3 linked regions of the Saccharomyces cerevisiae S288C genome follow. The gene in region 2 interacts genetically with the main gene of each other region. Each region holds a gene or a part of one and is shown on either strand. Other genes may lie near its edges.

Evidence for each region. Genes that interact genetically often act in the same process or in processes that back each other up.
Region 1: mutations in THI3 (region 2) and EST1 together harm fitness more than expected from each alone (negative genetic interaction), as found in Saccharomyces cerevisiae (3 studies listed by BioGRID).
Region 3: mutations in THI3 (region 2) and THI7 together harm fitness more than expected from each alone (negative genetic interaction), as found in Saccharomyces cerevisiae (3 studies listed by BioGRID, with this or other methods).

The regions. Positions count from the first base shown.
Region 1 is NC_001144.5:604,670-611,331, reverse strand, and holds EST1 (Est1p), read left to right. Parts: upstream 1-1,807; coding exon 1,808-3,907; downstream 3,908-6,662. Other genes in the region: TOP3 (DNA topoisomerase 3), read right to left, coding at 1-1,549; BNA5 (kynureninase), read left to right, coding at 4,213-5,574; Rho family GTPase CDC42, read left to right, coding at 6,545-6,662. UniProt on the Saccharomyces cerevisiae protein: Directly involved in telomere replication. Associates with telomerase and during its interaction with CDC13, telomerase activity is promoted.
Region 2 is NC_001136.10:305,807-314,474, reverse strand, and holds THI3 (branched-chain-2-oxoacid decarboxylase THI3), read left to right. Parts: upstream 1-2,003; coding exon 2,004-3,833; downstream 3,834-8,668. Other genes in the region: putative serine/threonine protein kinase MRK1, read left to right, coding at 1-138, 431-1,524; ribosomal protein P1 RPP1A, read left to right, coding at 4,353-4,673; 60S ribosomal protein eL13 RPL13A, read right to left, coding at 5,087-5,682, 6,048-6,051; 40S ribosomal protein uS9 RPS16B, read left to right, coding at 6,686-6,709, 7,142-7,549; ATP-dependent RNA helicase SUB2, read right to left, coding at 7,898-8,668. UniProt on the Saccharomyces cerevisiae protein: One of five 2-oxo acid decarboxylases (PDC1, PDC5, PDC6, ARO10, and THI3) involved in amino acid catabolism.
Region 3 is NC_001144.5:610,629-616,918, forward strand, and holds THI7 (thiamine transporter THI7), read left to right. Parts: upstream 1-1,738; coding exon 1,739-3,535; downstream 3,536-6,290. Other genes in the region: TOP3 (DNA topoisomerase 3), read left to right, coding at 1-1,125; YLR236C (uncharacterized protein), read right to left, coding at 1,166-1,489; FAR10 (Far10p), read left to right, coding at 4,127-5,563; lipoyl(octanoyl) transferase LIP2, read right to left, coding at 5,704-6,290. UniProt on the Saccharomyces cerevisiae protein: Responsible for intake of thiamine.

The DNA of each region.
Region 1 (6,662 bases), on a different chromosome or scaffold from region 2:
TCGCGATGTCTACGAGGGCATTCATTTCAAGCCGCGGTAACTGCTTGGTGGTTTCCCATCGGGCCCAAGGGTAAACATCGAGGAAATTTCTCTCTAGGACTACGAGACCTGAAGCTGAGAAACGTTCAACGGCCCAGTCCAACACAAGGGTCATCGATTGGCCCTTGGCGTCCTCTGAGCAGCATGCCAAAAAGTGCCTGGCCACGTACTCGTATACTCTTCTTTCCACTGGCGAAACATTTGCTTCAGGCCCCAGACTTACGATGGGGTGGATTGGTGGATGCGCTTTGTCGTCATGGGAGCCGCTTCGTGGAAACTTGAACTTGTTATTGTTACTTGTGTTTTCGGGTTGGAGCAGCGATGCCGCGTACGATGCCCAGGCGGTTCTGCCGCCTGCAGCGAGTTGGTCCAATTGAGCTTGCTTTTCGACCAAGGATTTTAGGTCCATTGCGTGTGGGAAAGTATCAGTCTCTGTTCTTGGATACGATATGAACCCCTTTTGGTATAGCTTTTCTGCTGCGTCTAGTGATTGTTTGGCGTTCAGACGCAGGTACCGGGCGCAGTTTTTTTGTAGCTCCACTGTGGTCAGAGGTAAAGGTCTGTATTTCGTTGTTGGCTTTGATTTCAAGTCTACTACTTGAGCAACATTGCCGGCGGTTTCGATGCATGTCTCGTAAAACGTTAACACGCTCAGCCGGTCGAACAAGTGGCCCCTGTCCCACTGGAACGTTGTTGTTCCGCCGTTGTCTTTGTTTTCGACTACCAATTGGATATACCAGAACTCTTCGGGAACAAAATTTCGTATTCTTTCAAACCTGTCTACTACAAAGCCGAGCGTTGGAAACTGGCATGTACCATACGATACGACTTGTGAGTCGTTCTTGTTACCACCGCGGTGTTTTGCACCATCCTTGGTCATGGTGGCTTGGTTTCTCAGTTTATTTCGTAGCGTTTCTGTTAAGAGTCTGGTGAATGTAACACCTGCTCGAAGATCGATTTCAATCCGCGTGCCTACAGCGTGCACACTCTTCATATCCAATCGACTTGGGTTTCGTGCTGCATTTAATATGTGTTGTCTTTCGAGATGCGAAAAGACTGCCCGGTATACTTGATCATTTTGTATGAGCCTGTTGCCTCTCTTGGCCTCCTGCCATATCTCCCAACCGATGTACTCTCCTTCCCGGTCGCAATCTGTCCATATCATCAGATAGTCTGCATTCCTCGCTTCTCGCTTGATGTTGCTTGCTATCTTTTTTTGGTTGTTATTCATAATCTCGTTCAGTGGCGCATCAAATAACTCTTGGATGGCGCATTTTCCCCACCCATGCGAATCATGGCTGAAATCAATGCCTGTTAGGTGCCCTGCAACACTAGTCATGGTAACTTCGCAGTTAGCCCCATTTCTGGCAAACGGGAACCCACTAAACATGAAATCATAGTTCTTTACATACATGTAGCCGGAATCCCTTGAAGTTGATCTGCCTCCTCCTAGGATCTGTGAAACTGCCTTCGCTATAGAATTTTTCTCTGCGACACATAGCACTTTCATTATTGTCTATAATACACCTTTACGTAGCTGAAGCGAGCGCACAGACGAAGGTGCTTTCAAAAGCGATGCCCTCTTTATTGACAGTTACTAATTCGCCAAACTGCTTTTTTTTATCAATGTGATTTTCGCGTTCACGCCATTATCCAATGTCAAAAAGGATAATGGAAATGTTAACATGCCTGTATGATCCGACCGTTTTTAGCAAACTTATCAGGGGAAAAAGTATATTCCATTAAATGACACATGCCACCATAGATAATGGATAATGAAGAAGTTAACGAAGAATGTATGAGATTATTTTTCAAGAACGCTCGTGCGCATCTGGATAAACATCTAACATCAAGGTTGACATGCGATGAAAATGCATATATCACGTTCAGATGCTTCCTGGATGGAATACATCGCAAATCTACTAGGTTTCTCGAAGAGCTACTTTTGAAACAAGAAAATATGTACCATAATAACAATTACGAACGCATAAATGATTCCGTGATACCATTGGTTCTGAAACTTTTATGGCTTCAAATTCACGAACCTACACTCCAATGGTTTGAGCACTGGTTCCATGATATCATGCGACTAAGTAACAGAAGAAAGTTCAGAGTTTTTAGAATTTTTCAAAAAAAAATGATTCAATTTTTCAAAATTACACACAGGTATTACTATGACATCATCGAACACCTATGCGCAAAGTACGATATGAATTCCGTTATTTCAAATGCTCTCTTCGCGAAGTTGAATTTAATGCAATACACAGATGGACTTTCAACTCATGAGAAAATTATCTTAAACACGAGTAATCCACTGACGTTTTCCATTGTAATCTCACTACAAAGATGCGTGATTAATCTAGGTTCCACACATTTTTATAAAACACTACTAAACAAGCCGTCTAACAAACCCAAGAGTGTGGAAGGTTTTGAGAAGTCTATTAGGTACTTGAATATTGCCTCACTCTATCTCCCAGCCGTTGGAGATACTTATTTTCAACGAGCGAAAATTTACTTGATCACTGGGAAATTCTCACTGTATTTCTTTGAATTAGTAAGAGGAGCATTGGTAAGGATTCCGTCTAAATGTGCGTTAAACAATTTGAAAGATTTCATTTTGACTCCTGATTTTCCGGAAAGAAGACGTCTGATGAAAAAATTGGCAATTCTTGTGTCAAAAGATCTCAAAGGTGAGAAATCATTCTTTGAAGGTCAAATTGTTTTGCAATTTCTATCGATAGTAGAACACACTTTGGTTCCACAGTCATGGAACGCATCACGTGCTTCTAATTGTTGGTTATTGAAAGAGCATTTACAAATGGCTGCATTAAAGTATCATTCAGGTAATATTAATGTTATACTTGAAAACTTGGCTGCCACAATGGGAAGTTTCGATCTTATGTTTACAACTCGAAAAAGTAAGGAACAAAAGAACAAACTCAAATATGCAGATTTGAGTGAGCGCCAGGTTTTTTTTTTAGACTTGAGCTTTGATTTTATTGCTAATATCATAGACGTCGTCATCAAACCCTCCTGGCAAAAAAACATGGAAGACTTTCGATATCTAGCCATTATTCGTTTGCTTATGTGCTGGATTAAGTCATATAGATCTATTTTGCAGTACACTCACAGACACAGGAAGTTTTGCACTTCATTCGCCTTGTTGCTGAACGACTTGATAAATAGTCCACTGAATTGTTCAGGAAATATATATAGCCACAGGCCGAAAAGAAGCTATCTTTTTAGAGAAGATATTATTTTCAGGGAATTTTCTTGCATTAACTTTGCACTAACAGATTTTAATGACGATTATGTGTATGATTCTCCCGACATGATTAATAATATAATTGGATGCCCTACATTGACTAAAGTGCTTTCTCCAAAAGAAGAATGTGTTCTGCGAATTAGATCAATAATATTTTCTGGCATGAAATTTTTAGAGAAAAATGACACCGGCGTCATATGGAATGCCAGCAAATATAAGTTTGATTTAATAAGCCCAAATATTAAAATAAAACGCCAAATAGCATTATCGGAAATTTCCTCCAAAATAAATGTAAAAACACAACAGGAAAGAGTAGTCTCTTCGAGAAAAGTTGAGGCCAAAAGAGATGAACAACAGCGCAAAAGAGCCGGGAAAATAGCTGTGACAGAACTGGAAAAACAATTTGCAAATGTCCGGAGAACAAAAAAATTGTCTCCGCTCCCAGAAAAAGATGGCGTTTCTTCTGAGTTGGTAAAACATGCTGCTTCACGAGGGAGAAAAACTATCACTGGCCCACTATCCTCTGATTTTCTCTCATATCCAGACGAAGCAATTGATGCTGATGAGGACATCACCGTCCAAGTGCCAGATACTCCTACTTGAGAGAACAAGTAATGGTGAGGGAAAAAATCATAATATGAAATATATTATGACGACGTCAATTAACGTCGTCCACGCCTGTCGTCGTCAACCCACGAAAATATGGGGGCGGTTTTTATAACGGTTATTAAAACGACGGGATGCCGTCTACGGCACGGACAAACCCATCGCTTTGGAAATAGGTGACTGCGCTTGAAAAACATAATTATTTATTAGCATAATAAATTCAAGACAGCAAATATATATGCTGTCAATACGTACATATTAAGCCTAAATATTCTGTGGAAAAAAGAAACAAACTGGTAATTATGGAGAAAGCTTTGGAATTAGACGGAGAATATCCGGAATCTCTGAGGGATGAATTCAACATCCCTACATTTAAATCCATGGGACTATCGTCCGACGATAAGCCTGTGACGTACTTATGCGGGAATTCTTTAGGTTTGATGCCGAAGTCAACTAGGAATTCAATTAATGCTGAGCTAGATGCGTGGAGCGATTGTGCTGTGGAATCGCATTTCAAACATCCTGAAGAAGCCAGAGGAAAGGTGCCTTGGGTCAGCATTGACTTACCTATTCTTCCACTACTAGCCCCCATCGTGGGTGCTCAAGAAAATGAAGTTGCAGTAATGAATAGTCTCACTGCAAATTTGAATTCATTGTTAATTACGTTTTATAAACCTACTGAGAAAAGATTCAAGATCCTTTTTGAAAAGGGCTCCTTTCCATCAGACTATTATGCTTTCTACAACCAGTGCAAAATTCATGGAATTTCGGAACCTGAGAATGTTTTTATTCAGATCGAGCCACGCGAGGGAGAGACTTATATCAGAACTCAAGATATCCTGGATACCATAGAGGTAAATCAAGATGAATTGGCGCTGGTCTGTTTGTCAGGTGTTCAGTATTACACGGGGCAATATTTCGATATTGGCCGAATCACCTCATTTGCCCACCAATTCCCCGACATATTGGTTGGATGGGATTTAGCACACGCTGTAGGGAACGTCCCATTGCAACTTCATGATTGGGGTGTTGACTTTGCCTGTTGGTGTTCTTACAAGTACTTGAATGCCGGGCCTGGTGGAATTGGTGGCTTATTTGTCCACTCGAAGCATACTAAACCAGACCCTGCTAAGGAAAGTTTGCCAAGATTAGCTGGTTGGTGGGGCAATGATCCTGCTAAGCGATTTCAAATGCTGGAAGTATTCGAGCCGATTCCAGGAGCATTGGGATTCAGGCAATCTAATCCAAGCGTTATTGACACAGTGGCATTGAGAAGTTCATTGGAATTATTTGCGAAGTTTAATGGTATTAATGAAGTTCGTAAAAGATCGTTGTTGCTGACGAACTATATGACGGAACTGTTGGAAGCCTCCAAGTATTACAAACACCCTTTAAGGATCGAGAAATTACCATGTTTTTTTACAATATTAACTCCAACAAGCACAGATGAAGAACATGGCGCCCAATTGTCACTTTACTTCGATTCTGACACTGGAAAAGAGGATATTATGCCCAAAGTTTTCCAATATTTGCATGACCATGGTGTCATTGGCGATGCAAGAAGACCAAACGTAATTAGATTGGCTCCTGCTCCCTTATATAATACATTTTCAGATGTATACATTGCGGTGAATGCACTAAATGAGGCGATGGATAAGTTGTAGTCCTAGAGTGACCGCATCGCCTTCATCTTCTTTTGGATATTATATATGACGTAGTTTGAAATTCGTATACTTACTGATAGCGAACCTATAAATTTATACTTTCTTTCCAAGAATTAAAATAAATATCTGGGCCCGTGTATTACTTACCAGTTGCCGTGCATAGTCGTGAATCTTCTTTCATTTATCAACCTTCTTCCAATAATGAAGCTAACTTATCAGTGGTAGTACTGTTGAACGAAACAAGCCGGAACTCAAAAGGGTAATTTCGTGAAAAACAATCATCTACGGTATAAATAACAATTTAATTTACGTCTCTTTCGAAAATGCTCGTGTAGCTCAGTGGTTAGAGCTTCGTGCTTATAGCAACATTCGGTTTCCGAAGTTTCTGTGCCAAAGACCTTTCAAACAGGCCTTTAAAAGCAACGCGACCGTCGTGGGTTCAATCCCCACCTCGAGCACTTTCTCTTTTTTTTTTAAAAAAAGTTGCATTATTTCTATCAACTGTTGTAGCTACGTTACACCTAATTTTGTATTGTAGACTGTTAGATAATCCACATATACAGGTAAATACGGCACATTGTCTTCTAAACATCGCATTAAAGATGTCTTCCACCGTCGATTCAAGGGTCATTCAATACGGGTAATACTGCTTCCATTGGGCCCTTCCAAATGAAACAAGATACGGGAAAAAGTGATAAAAAAAAGCAAACAAGGTTGATTGATCGATGATAGACGCGATTCTTGGAAAAGGCAAGAGCAGCGTTTTGATAAATAGGTTCCAGGTGTACCGAGATATACTGATTATCCTTCTCTGTCATTCTTCACTTTTTGCAATAGGTTTCCTTTGTCGCAAAAAATTATATTCGTTATTTATTATACTATTCTATTTTCCTGAGGAGATAGGTTAACAAACGAATTAGAGAAGCAAAACTTATAAAACAAGAAATAAACGTATTAGCTCTTCCACAAAATGCAAACGCTAAAGTGTGTTGTTGTCGGTGATGGTGCTGTTGGGAAAACGTGCCTTCTAATCTCCTATACAACGAATCAATTTCCAGCCGACTATGTTCCAACAGTGTTCGATAACT
Region 2 (8,668 bases):
ACGCCAATATCTCGGACAGTAAAACAGATGGAAAAGTTGCCAATAAGCACGAAAATATTAGTAGCAAGCTTAGTAAAGAGAAGGTTGAGAAAATGATTAATTTTGATTATAGGTATATTAAAACCAAGGAAAGGACTAGTATGTATAATTATTTTTTATTTTTTTTTTTTATGTTCTTGCCAGTGGAGGAATGTTTCTTTCGTCACAACCGGAGTGAATAGTGGAACTACTGTCAGTTCATAGTATCGCGACACAAAAAAAAATAATTAAAAGAAAAAAAAAGAGAGTGTAAAATAAAGATTTATGAAATTGCATCCCTAATCTTAGAAACTTGCTTACGAAATATCAGGAAGCATAGCGGAACATTTTTCCATATTACATCAACTACCATTTTTTATGGGAATCACATTATATACTAACATAGGTTTAGTTCATAAACGGGTTTATAAACATGACCGCAAAACTGATGTCGACCGAAAAAATCATGGAGGAACTATCGACATCAGTTATCCTACGACAGAAGTGGTTGGCCATGGTTCATTTGGTGTTGTAGTCACGACTGTAATAATTGAGACCAATCAAAAAGTTGCCATAAAGAAAGTACTACAAGATAGAAGATATAAAAATAGGGAGCTCGAAACTATGAAGATGTTGTGCCATCCAAATACTGTGGGTCTACAGTACTACTTTTACGAAAAGGACGAAGAAGATGAAGTATACCTCAATCTGGTTTTGGACTACATGCCTCAGTCGTTATACCAAAGGCTTCGTCATTTTGTTAATTTGAAAATGCAGATGCCGCGTGTTGAAATTAAATTCTATGCATACCAACTATTCAAAGCTTTAAACTATTTGCATAACGTTCCTCGAATCTGTCACAGAGATATAAAACCGCAAAACCTACTGGTGGATCCGACAACTTTTTCTTTCAAGATTTGCGATTTTGGCAGTGCCAAATGCTTGAAACCGGATCAGCCTAATGTGTCTTACATCTGTTCAAGGTACTATAGGGCTCCCGAACTCATGTTTGGTGCCACTAATTACTCAAACCAGGTCGACGTGTGGTCAAGCGCTTGTGTCATTGCTGAGTTGCTTTTGGGCAAGCCCTTGTTCTCTGGTGAAAGCGGTATAGATCAGTTGGTGGAAATTATTAAGATAATGGGCATACCCACAAAGGATGAAATTTCAGGAATGAACCCAAATTATGAAGACCATGTTTTCCCCAATATCAAGCCCATTACTTTGGCTGAAATATTCAAAGCCGAAGATCCCGATACTCTTGACTTGTTAACAAAAACTCTGAAGTATCACCCTTGCGAAAGATTGGTACCTCTACAATGTCTATTATCAAGCTATTTTGACGAAACCAAACGTTGTGATACCGACACTTACGTAAAAGCACAAAACCTGCGTATATTTGACTTCGACGTGGAAACTGAGTTGGGCCATGTTCCACTTGTGGAACGGCCCGCCATTGAAGAACGGTTGAAACATTTTGTTTCTGCACCTTCATCGTCTTTGTGATATATCTCATCCTTCAAATTTCTTAGTCTATTGTATCATTACTATTACATAATATGCATTTGTCTTCTGCACACAGATACACAGCGTATGCAGTTAACCTAACGTATAACGACCGTCCTCTTTCCTTCATTTAATTTCACTTGCTGCTTTTCTAGGCAGCGGTCGCCCAAATTTTCACCGGCCACAAGCGTATGACTGCATATGCAGAACCTTGGCAACTGTAAGAACTCCTATGTTTCTTTATTGCAAACAGTTGCTAAAAGCACTCACATAGAAGAAAAATTGATGAAACTTGCGATGCATTGAACAAATTTCCCTTTCTTCATACTTTACGGCATAGTAATCTTTGAACCTTTTGGTAAGCACCAAATTCGTAATTCATTATCGATATTGTGTAGAAAAGAGTAAAATATAATAAAACGAAAAAAAAAAGGTTTGAAAGAACATAACTACTAAAACGCACCGTCGTCATTCTGAAGATGAATTCTAGCTATACACAGAGATATGCACTGCCGAAGTGTATAGCAATATCAGATTATCTTTTCCATCGGCTCAACCAGCTGAACATACATACCATATTTGGACTCTCCGGAGAATTTAGCATGCCGTTGCTGGATAAACTATACAACATTCCGAACTTACGATGGGCCGGTAATTCTAATGAGTTAAATGCTGCCTACGCAGCAGATGGATACTCACGACTAAAAGGCTTGGGATGTCTCATAACAACCTTTGGTGTAGGCGAATTATCGGCAATCAATGGCGTGGCCGGATCTTACGCTGAACATGTAGGAATACTTCACATAGTGGGTATGCCGCCAACAAGTGCACAAACGAAACAACTACTACTGCATCATACTCTGGGCAATGGTGATTTCACGGTATTTCATAGAATAGCCAGTGATGTAGCATGCTATACAACATTGATTATTGACTCTGAATTATGTGCCGACGAAGTCGATAAGTGCATCAAAAAGGCTTGGATAGAACAGAGGCCAGTATACATGGGCATGCCTGTCAACCAGGTAAATCTCCCGATTGAATCAGCAAGGCTTAATACACCTCTGGATTTACAATTGCATAAAAACGACCCAGACGTAGAGAAAGAAGTTATTTCTCGAATATTGAGTTTTATATACAAAAGCCAGAATCCGGCAATCATCGTAGATGCATGTACTAGTCGACAGAATTTAATCGAGGAGACTAAAGAGCTTTGTAATAGGCTTAAATTTCCAGTTTTTGTTACACCTATGGGTAAGGGTACAGTAAACGAAACAGACCCGCAATTTGGGGGCGTATTCACGGGCTCGATATCAGCCCCAGAAGTAAGAGAAGTAGTTGATTTTGCCGATTTTATCATCGTCATTGGTTGCATGCTCTCCGAATTCAGCACGTCAACTTTCCACTTCCAATATAAAACTAAGAATTGTGCGCTACTATATTCTACATCTGTGAAATTGAAAAATGCCACATATCCTGACTTGAGCATTAAATTACTACTACAGAAAATATTAGCAAATCTTGATGAATCTAAACTGTCTTACCAACCAAGCGAACAACCCAGTATGATGGTTCCAAGACCTTACCCAGCAGGAAATGTCCTCTTGAGACAAGAATGGGTCTGGAATGAAATATCCCATTGGTTCCAACCAGGTGACATAATCATAACAGAAACTGGTGCTTCTGCATTTGGAGTTAACCAGACCAGATTTCCGGTAAATACACTAGGTATTTCGCAAGCTCTTTGGGGATCTGTCGGATATACAATGGGGGCGTGTCTTGGGGCAGAATTTGCTGTTCAAGAGATAAACAAGGATAAATTCCCCGCAACTAAACATAGAGTTATTCTGTTTATGGGTGACGGTGCTTTCCAATTGACAGTTCAAGAATTATCCACAATTGTTAAGTGGGGATTGACACCTTATATTTTTGTGATGAATAACCAAGGTTACTCTGTGGACAGGTTTTTGCATCACAGGTCAGATGCTAGTTATTACGATATCCAACCTTGGAACTACTTGGGATTATTGCGAGTATTTGGTTGCACGAACTACGAAACGAAAAAAATTATTACTGTTGGAGAATTCAGATCCATGATCAGTGACCCAAACTTTGCGACCAATGACAAAATTCGGATGATAGAGATTATGCTACCACCAAGGGATGTTCCACAGGCTCTGCTTGACAGGTGGGTGGTAGAAAAAGAACAGAGCAAACAAGTGCAAGAGGAGAACGAAAATTCTAGCGCAGTAAATACGCCAACTCCAGAATTCCAACCACTTCTAAAAAAAAATCAAGTTGGATACTGATCTGATCTCTCCGCCCTACTACCAGGGACCCTCATGATTACCGCTCGAATGCGACGTTTCCTGCCTCATAAAACTGGCTTGAAAATATTTATTCGCTGAACAGTAGCCTAGCTTATAAAAATTTCATTTAATTAATGTAATATGAAAACTCACATGCCTTCTGTTTCTAAAATTGTCACAGCAAGAAATAACATTACCATACGTGATCTTATTAAACTCTAGTATCTTGTCTAATACTTCATTTAAAAGAAGCCTTAACCCTGTAGCCTCATCTATGTCTGCTACATATCGTGAGGTACGAATATCGTAAGATGATACCACGCAACTTTGTAATGATTTTTTTTTTTTCATTTTTTAAAGAATGCCTTTACATGGTATTTGAAAAAAATATCTTTATAAAGTTTGCGATCTCTTCTGTTCTGAATAATTTTTAGTAAAAGAAATCAAAAGAATAAAGAAATAGTCCGCTTTGTCCAATACAACAGCTTAAACCGATTATCTCTAAAATAACAAGAAGAAATGTCTACTGAATCCGCTTTGTCTTACGCCGCCTTGATTTTGGCTGACTCTGAAATCGAAATCTCTTCTGAAAAGTTGTTGACTTTGACTAACGCTGCCAATGTCCCAGTTGAAAATATCTGGGCTGATATTTTTGCTAAGGCTTTGGACGGCCAAAACTTGAAGGACTTATTGGTCAACTTCAGCGCTGGTGCTGCTGCCCCAGCTGGTGTCGCTGGTGGTGTCGCTGGTGGTGAAGCCGGTGAAGCCGAAGCTGAAAAGGAAGAAGAAGAAGCTAAAGAAGAATCCGATGACGACATGGGTTTCGGTTTATTTGATTAGAAGTGCCGCACTGTTTAGAAGAAATTGCATATTCTAACATTTAAAATTTTTTATAATTTTTCTATATAGTCGCTTTTAATACAATAAGACAGTACTTTCTTTTTGTTCAATACCATCTTTCGCATCTCTTCTATGCTATATATAATGCCACGTTGTGCTCGAAGGAAAAGCCTGCAAACCTGACTACTACTAATACAATAATGTTCCATCATATCAAGAAAACTGCGCTAACTTGTAAAAATACTGTCAACCATATTCTCACCCAGACTATAAAGTTAAGGAAATGATAAATTATAAGTGATGGCTTCCCGTTTATACATTGTACATATATATTATTTATGAAATTGAACAGATAAAAAAGAAGGAAAATACAAAAATTGTGGATGAAAAATTCTTTGATGAAGTTTTTAGATCTATTTCTTCTTTTCAGCTTCAGCTTCAGCCTTTTCTCTAGCTCTCTTTTCTCTGATACCTCTGAATTTCTTCTCAGATCTGGCTAATCTCAAGGTTCTGAAAGCAGATTCACCATTGTCTTGGACAGCTCTAGCTTCAACATCGGTAGCTGGTTGAGCAATTGGGAAAGTAGCAGCAGCAGACAAAACTTGTTCAGCTTCTGGGGCCTTACCATTTCTTGGGAAAACAATAATCTTAGATTGGTATTCCTTTAATCTTTGAACGTTAGCATCAAAGATTTCTTGGTTTCTGTTTTGACGTCTGTGGTCAACGGCGATACCGATAGTTCTGGCATAAGCAGCAGTCAAACCAGCGGCCTTAACTTCAGCCAAGGTGAAACCTCTGCCAGCTCTGACCTTTCTGTTATACTTAACAGTTGGGGCTCTAACAACAGGTCTCAAGAGATCTAGAGGTCTTGGAGCAATCTTAGCGGCTCTGGTAGCTCTAGCATTACGTCTAGAAACCTTCTTACCAGCTTGGTCGAAGTGCACTTTAACACGTTCTTGCCAGTGCTTTCTGAAATGATTCTTTAAGATTGGTAAATTCTTGGAAATGGCTGATATAATTCAATTGGTAGATCCCATTTTAAAAATTGTTAGTATACAGAAAAGTGGACGTTTCAATTAGACACCAAATTTATCATATTATCTAAGAAGACTCTAACAATGAGTTCAGCAAATAGTGGTACAAAGGTCCTGTCTCGAATTTGCTTGGCCATTACTATGACTGCTCAGTTATTGTAAAAAGGAGAAAAATCTCATGATTTATTAGAAAATAACTTTAGCCTCTCTAGGTTCATCAATAACGTGTGTTGTATTATGCATGCCTTTGTGCACTAGTATAATCCTCTAAGGTAACAAGCGAGCTTCTTTGGTCTATGAAATGACAAAAGTGATTTGAATTATTTTATAGTAGACATACCCATTGTGTACGATTCCTGCTGTGCTGTACTATGCTTTTCTCAAACCCCTTCGAACAGAATGCTGCAAGCTTAAATGGATTAGTAGCTAATATCCGATCATTTCAAATTTTCCAAGATTTCCACACCTCTACTGTGATTATTCCGACTAGAAAAAAATTAAATTTTCTAACTACAAAAAATTGCCTGCATATATGTAAGGATGTAACAGGAAATGTATGGGTCACATATTAATAGCTTGTTTTACTCCATAAAAGAGTCTGATATTCAGAAAAAACACCCATACATGTTGAAAAATAATGCATTGTGAAAAAAAGTGGTTGAAAAATGTATGCGATCTAGGAAAAACTGAATTTTCCTTAGGTTGTCGCTCCTCCTCTAGAAGGATGCTGTGGCCTTTGACCTGGGCGGAAATTCTCTCTGTTTCCCTCTAGCTGAGGGAAACAGAACTGGTAGCAGTTCGTTCCGGCCAGGCCGCGTGAGCCTATACCACCGAATATTATCCTAGCGCAGAGAGTAACACTGGCAAAGTCAAAAGTAAATGCCATGTAAAATGTATAGGTTACGCAGTAGACTATTTAATATATACCTTTTTATTTAGCAGTGTTTCGAAAAATACAGCAAGAGAATAAGCAACAAGATGTCTGCCGTCCCAAGTGTCCAAGTATGTTAAATAATTTAAACGATGTCACGAATTTGTGAGGGATATTGAAACCATGCAGTGAGATAATTTCAATTTAAGAACCATATCACCTGAATAAGACGGGTGGGGCAAGCACTAGATGCGAATCATAGTTTTAGAACAACGGATCACCATTTCACACGTTAAAGACCGAGTAGAAATAACCAATAAATTGTGTGGGAAAATATTATACTTAATTTCTCTGTGGAGTAAAGTAATGAGCGTCTTTTGCGGTCTTATTTATTCATTCGCTCCCCTTGCAATGAATTTTGAACAGAATGCTCCAAAGAGGAAGTGCCAGGGTACCTCACTTGTTTCACCCTTTTACACAGTTCATAATATTTTTGAGGATTTTGAATTTCTGTTTTACTAACATGTGACACGAAATGTTTTTCATTTTTGGTTTTATAACAGACTTTTGGTAAGAAGAAATCAGCTACCGCTGTTGCCCACGTCAAGGCCGGTAAGGGTTTGATTAAGGTCAACGGTTCTCCAATCACTTTGGTTGAACCAGAAATCCTAAGATTCAAGGTCTACGAACCATTATTGTTGGTTGGTTTGGACAAGTTCTCCAACATCGATATCAGAGTTAGAGTCACTGGTGGTGGTCATGTTTCTCAAGTCTACGCCATCAGACAAGCTATTGCTAAGGGTTTAGTCGCTTACCACCAAAAGTACGTTGACGAACAATCCAAGAACGAATTGAAGAAGGCCTTCACCTCTTACGACAGAACTTTGTTGATCGCTGATTCTAGAAGACCAGAACCAAAGAAATTCGGTGGTAAGGGTGCTCGTTCTAGATTCCAAAAATCTTACCGTTAAGAAAATTTCAAGATTTTTTCCAGAAATCTCTTCACTTTTCTTTGCACATCTATTGTATTAAAAAACTTTTTACTTACATATACTGTATATCTTCCTATAACGGGTAAAACGTTAATTTAGAATCATTCCCAAAACTTCATTTCCTTATCATGCTTTGCCATGTGATGCCCAATAGAATTGTCTTGTGCGTTCACGAAATGACTACACTACGTTCATTTTCCAACAAAAACTCAATCTTTCGCTATAACTGCTAATTTTTTTCCACTTCCCCTTTTTTGTTTGTTTTGTTCGTTTGAATAATACAAAATCTTTATATAATCTATATAAAAACGTATCTTTTTTCCTTTATTAATTATTCAAATAAGTGGACGGATCAATGCCTTCTTCTGGGAATTCAGCGATTTTGACATCGAAACGCTCTTGGATCTTAGCCAAGACTTCCTCATCTTCCTTTGAAGAAACGAATGAAATAGCCAAACCCTTAGTACCAAATCTACCAGCTCTACCGACACGATGTAAATATTGGTCAGCTTCATTAGTCAAATCGTAATTGATGGCTAAATTAATACGTTCAATATCGATACCTCTACCAAAAACATCTGTGGACACGCAAATACGTTTTTCAAAATCTTTGAAAGCCTTGTAACGAGCAATACGTTCTTCTTGTTTCATATGACCATGAACGGTGATAGCCGGAAAGTTAGAGGCGTTTAATAGTTTGGTCAACTCATTAGCTCTTGTGGTAGATTTAACGAAAATAATGACTTGATTGAACTCCAAATCATCTAATAATTGAGCCAATTTACGGTTCTTTTCACGTTCTTCTAATTTGATATAATATTGTTGCAACCCGTGCAAGGTTAGCTTAGCTTCATCATCGACGAAAATTTCCAATGGATTCTGTAAGAAGCGTCTACAAATTGGTCTAATTTCTTGAGAAAGTGTGGCTGAAAACATCATGACTTGTTTGTCTCTTGGAGTAGCTCTGAAAATTTCTTGCACATCTCTTCTCATGTCTAATTCTTCTAAAACCTTATCACATTCATCTATGACAAAGTTCTTGACGTGTGACAAATCAATGTATTTTTCTCTCACTAACGCTTTTAAACGACCTGGAGT
Region 3 (6,290 bases), on a different chromosome or scaffold from region 2:
TTCGACCGGCTGAGCGTGTTAACGTTTTACGAGACATGCATCGAAACCGCCGGCAATGTTGCTCAAGTAGTAGACTTGAAATCAAAGCCAACAACGAAATACAGACCTTTACCTCTGACCACAGTGGAGCTACAAAAAAACTGCGCCCGGTACCTGCGTCTGAACGCCAAACAATCACTAGACGCAGCAGAAAAGCTATACCAAAAGGGGTTCATATCGTATCCAAGAACAGAGACTGATACTTTCCCACACGCAATGGACCTAAAATCCTTGGTCGAAAAGCAAGCTCAATTGGACCAACTCGCTGCAGGCGGCAGAACCGCCTGGGCATCGTACGCGGCATCGCTGCTCCAACCCGAAAACACAAGTAACAATAACAAGTTCAAGTTTCCACGAAGCGGCTCCCATGACGACAAAGCGCATCCACCAATCCACCCCATCGTAAGTCTGGGGCCTGAAGCAAATGTTTCGCCAGTGGAAAGAAGAGTATACGAGTACGTGGCCAGGCACTTTTTGGCATGCTGCTCAGAGGACGCCAAGGGCCAATCGATGACCCTTGTGTTGGACTGGGCCGTTGAACGTTTCTCAGCTTCAGGTCTCGTAGTCCTAGAGAGAAATTTCCTCGATGTTTACCCTTGGGCCCGATGGGAAACCACCAAGCAGTTACCGCGGCTTGAAATGAATGCCCTCGTAGACATCGCGAAGGCCGAAATGAAGGCGGGCACTACGGCGCCGCCCAAGCCGATGACTGAGAGTGAACTCATTCTCCTCATGGATACAAACGGCATTGGCACAGACGCCACCATTGCGGAGCACATAGACAAGATCCAAGTACGTAATTACGTTAGGAGCGAGAAAGTAGGCAAGGAAACCTACTTACAACCCACGACCCTGGGTGTCTCACTAGTGCACGGCTTCGAGGCCATCGGCCTCGAAGACTCCTTTGCAAAGCCCTTCCAGCGCAGAGAAATGGAGCAAGACCTCAAGAAAATCTGCGAAGGTCATGCCTCCAAGACTGATGTTGTAAAGGACATAGTCGAGAAGTATAGGAAGTACTGGCACAAGACGAATGCCTGCAAGAATACTCTCTTGCAAGTTTATGACCGTGTCAAGGCATCCATGTAAGGCGTTTTTGCCGCCCTTTGTCTTCAAAAAAGCTCTCCGCTTAATTGCATGATTCAGCTGACTGCATATGTGCATTTTCAGTACCAGCCGCAACTGCATCAAACCATGCAGAAGTCGCCGCCACAGAAGCTCCAGCGCGCCGCGTAAACGCATGTTGGAAGGCGCCCCAATTAGCATATTCACGCGCGACTACCAAACGCATAGGGAAGGTTTCAGAGAGCCGATGAGCAGCGGATGCACAGAGTACGGCCATAAGGCTGCAAAGCGCTTGGCAGGAATGGGCGTTTTCTAGAGGTTGCCTTATTGATTTATATGGAAGAGGAGAGGATTCATCGATCGGGCTTCTAAGGCAAATAGTATGCATACCTTTTTCGGGTAGTTGAAGAGAAAAGAGGAAGAGAATAGAAAAAAAAAAAAAGCGAAATTTTTACATCCTCTATTGTAATGTAATTTCTTTTTTTTTATTAGGTATATATGTGAGATACAATTCTCGAAGTCATCGGGAAGCTTTACCATTTCATTTCCTATTCCAGAACTCATATTAGCATCTATTGTTCTGAGATTCATCGCAACATCATTTAAAGGACTGTAGAGCCAATTGCATTATATCAATATGAGTTTCGGTAGTAAAGTCTCCAGGGCTTTGAGATTTTTGGAAATTCCTGTCAAAGACAGGGCATCTGTGAGTTTCTTGAAGAACCCGGATTTGCAACCTATTAAGTCGGCTAACCAAACATGGGGGTTCTGGTCTAATTTTGCATATTGGGGTGTTATGTCCTTTTCAGTGGGTACATGGATGAGTGCCTCTTCTGCACTAGGTGTTGGATTAAGTTACCCAGAAACCATTGGTACATTTATCGTCGGTGATGTGTTGACCATTATTTTCACATTGGCAAACTCGTGTCCTGGTTACGACTGGAAGGTCGGTTTCACTTTGGCCCAAAGATTCGTCTTTGGTATTTACGGTTCTGCCTTCGGTATCATCATCAGAATTTTGATGAGTATTGTCAACTACGGGTCCAACGCTTGGGTGGGAGGTCTTTGTATCAATATGATCTTGGATTCATGGTCTCACCATTATTTGCACCTGCCAAACACCTTATCTTCGAAAGTTGCCATGACCACTAAAGAATTAATTGGTTTTATCATCTTCCACGTCCTTACTGCATTCTGTTACTTAATGAAACCCTACCACATGAACTACATTTTAATTTGGTCGTGTGTTGCTACATTTTTCTCTATGTTGGGTATGGTGATCTATTTAGCTAAACAGGCTCACGGTGTTGGAGAATTGTTTACCTCCACTAAATCCACTGCCACTGGCTCCACCAAAGCTTGGGCTTGGGTTTATATGATCTCGTACTGGTTCGGTTCCGTTTCTCCAGGTTCCACCAACCAAAGTGATTACTCGAGATTTGGTTCCTCCAATTGGGCTATCTGGGCCGGTACCATCTGTGCATTGTTAATTCCAACCACTTTAATCCCAGTTTTTGGTGTTATTGGTGCCTCCACCTGTGACAAACTATACGGTGAACAATATTGGATGCCTATGGATATCTTCAACCATTGGTTGACAACTAACTATTCTGCAGGTGCTCGTGCCGGTGCGTTCTTCTGTGGTCTTTCATTTGTCCTATCTCAAATGTCCTACACCATCTCCAACTGTGGGTTTGCCAGTGGTATGGATTTGGCCGGTTTATTACCCAAGTATGTCGACATCAAGAGGGGTGCCCTTTTTGCCGCATGTGTCTCCTGGGCTTGTTTGCCATGGAACTTCTACAACTCTTCTTCTACTTTCTTGACTGTCATGAGTTCTTTCGGTGTTGTCATGACTCCTATCATTTCTGTCATGATTTGCGATAACTTCTTGATCAGAAAAAGACAATACTCCATCACTAATGCCTTTATTCTCAAGGGTGAATACTATTTCACTAAGGGTGTTAACTGGAGAGCTATTGTTGCCTGGGTTTGTGGTATGACCCCCGGTCTACCTGGTATTGCTTGGGAAGTCAATAATGACTATTTCCACAACACTGGTATTGTCAATTTCTTTTACGGTGACTCCTTCTTCTCGTTTTTGATCTCCTTTTTCGTCTATTGGGGACTATGCCTCCTCTTCCCATTCAAAATTACTGTCAAACATGATGACAAAGATTATTATGGTGCCTTTACTGACGAAGAAGCAAGAAAGAAGGGCATGGTTCCATACAGTGAAATTTCTGAAGAAGAAATCCGCGCTTACACATTAGGCGAAGGTTACACTACCGGCCACGAGTACAGACCTGAAGGCTCCGACGATGAAATACCTGAGTTGGTCAAAACTAGCTCTGAAAACACCAATGAGTTTGAAATAGTTCATCATAAGAATAATGAAAAGCAATCCTCCACCGCCAGTGAAAAAGCTGCTTAGTGGGAAATAAAATTGCAAAAAATAATTAAGAATAAAATTTCCCTTTCATTTAATGGCTCTCTGCACTAATTTTTTTACCTACGAAATTTTCCTTCGTTCACACTTAATATTAAATAACAGCTCTTTCCTAATAATAACATATACACTAGATATATAATACCAAATAAATTAAAAAAAAAGAAAAACAAAAAATAACGTAGCTTTGTTACAGTCGTAAAAAAAAGAACAATAAACCAATCTTATTGCCAGCGTCTAACTAGTCCTATTATATTCCAATATATTAAGGGGTAAGGACTACTATTATTCGCCCTGAATTGAAATCTTTTAGAAAGCACCTGTTCTCTCTCTGGTGTTCTTTTTTTCTCATCTATTATCTAATTTCTTCAACCTTCGTTATTTGTTGTTATTCCGTAATCGTGGTGCTCAACTTTTGAAATTTCACTTGTTTACCATAACGGAACATAATTAAAAATTTGTTCTTGAAAGTCACAAGCACTACGTGAACACAAAATTAAGGCAAGAGTGACAAAGTAACCCTCACAAGGAGCCTGTCGTTGGTTATATTGGAAGCTATAGATATAATCGAATCCAATGACTGGTCCTGGACCTGAAATAAATAAGGAGGAGCACCCCAGTTCTCCGGGCAAGAAACAGATAACATATAATAGTATACCCAAGAATGCAAATCTAATTGATGGATCTACGAATTCATCGAAGAGGCCAATTGAAAAGTATGACAAGAGAATAGCCGACCCAACAAAAAGCTATTTTCCACATAGCATATCAAGAACACCAAGGAGAAAATATACTTACATTCTAGTCCTCACATCACTAAATGGAACTTTTGAGAGCAAACATGTGGTGATACCATTTAAACCAGATGGTTTGAAATTGGGAAGGCCTGTTGCTAATAGTAATAGCAGCTCCAGTTCATCGCTCAGGGGCGGTAAAAGAGTGGATTCACACACTTTTTCCCAAGTAAGGTCCGATAATGGTAATTTCGATTCAAGAGTACTCTCCAGGAATCATGCATTGTTAAGTTGCGACCCGCTCACGGGTAAGGTATATATACGAGACTTAAAATCCAGTAATGGTACGTTCATTAACGGTCAAAGAATTGGCTCAAATGACGTAGAAATCAAAGTTGGCGATGTGATAGACTTGGGAACAGATATAGATACGAAAATTGAGCATCGAAAAATAAGTGCCACAGTTGAAGAACTATTTGTACAACCTTTATTAGAATCACCGATTTTTGAAAATGAAGATAGTGATGATTGCCATACAATTACAGAAAAAGAGGAGGCTGCTGCCATAACAAGTCACATATATGGTGATTCCAACAACCTAGAATTGGAAGAAGTTATCCTGGGCTCTGATACAGAAATACTGAGTGGAATTTTTATTAATAATTGTATTGGTACGAGCCCGACTTTATCTAATATCATCAAAACCCTGGCAATGGAAATTCCATTTTCCAAATGCGATAATTTTAAATTACAGTCGATGGAGAATTTCTTAATTAATTATACGACACATCTAGAATACACGAACAAACTTTTAGTGGAAAAAAATGATCAGCAACTGGTAAAGCTGCAAAATGGATTAAGAAGGAAACTGTCGGGGAAATACGAAAAGATTATCGAACAAAACAGAAATCAAGTAAAACAGTTGGAAAGGGACCATATGTTTTTCAAAAAGTCATTTGAAGTGAAGAAAAGAAGAAATAATGAAAAGCAAAAAAGCATGGAAAGGGAAATAGAAGACTTGAAAACTAGGTTAGAAGTGGAACGATATAAGAATTCACAAATGATGAAGAAGAACAAACAGAAAGAACAAGAACTCTCAACTGCATCTAAAAAAAAGACTACCGAACATGACACTAGAGGCGTCCCGGGCATGAATCCTAAGGGTACTGACAAATTTAGCATCAAGAACACGCTATGTAATCATTTCACACTATTAACATTTGGAACTATTTCCATCGGGATTATAGCTATTGTCTTCAAGATCCTTTCCCCCAACTAGCATCGTAAATACAAGACACACACGATCCGCTTTTCACGTCAGAGATTATTATATACGTACGTATATATGTAATAGATATTCACATGTAAAAAAAGGTAAGCATCCTTTCATTTAAGAAAGTATGGGGGGAGTCATCCGTCTCACGGATTCTTTTTCAAAATATTGACGTCGTCAATTTGCATTCTTTCCAAAGTTTTTATTCCTAGCAGCTTTGTCATTTCTTTGACAAAACTAATTGCTACACTTTGCACATTTACAACAGCATCGGGTCGTTGTTCCATAATTGAAGTAGTCAGTGTATTTTTCAAACCGCACATTTCAAAACTATTCATATACGATAGATCTGTATTAACATTAATTGCTACCCCGTGCGATGTTATGGAACGTCTGACGTGTATTCCAACACTAGCAACTTTCTTCTTGCCATTTTCAACCCAAACTCCAGTGTCCTTTGTAGTCATAGCATCTAAGTTCAAAGGCTTGTCAGTGTCGTCGCACATCTTGGTATTCTTCAACGTTCTGATAGTGGCCTGCTCAATGCATGAAACCAAGCATTTAGCAGGGAAACTTTGAAATGTTTTCAAATCTAAAATAATGTAAATAACAATTTGGCCTGGACCATGAAATGTTACTTGTCCACCCCTTTCCACTTGAACAAACTTTGGTCGTGGGTTGTCCTTTTGCGTTTCTGGAATGAAACTTTCATAAGCCGCTATCTGATCTGGCG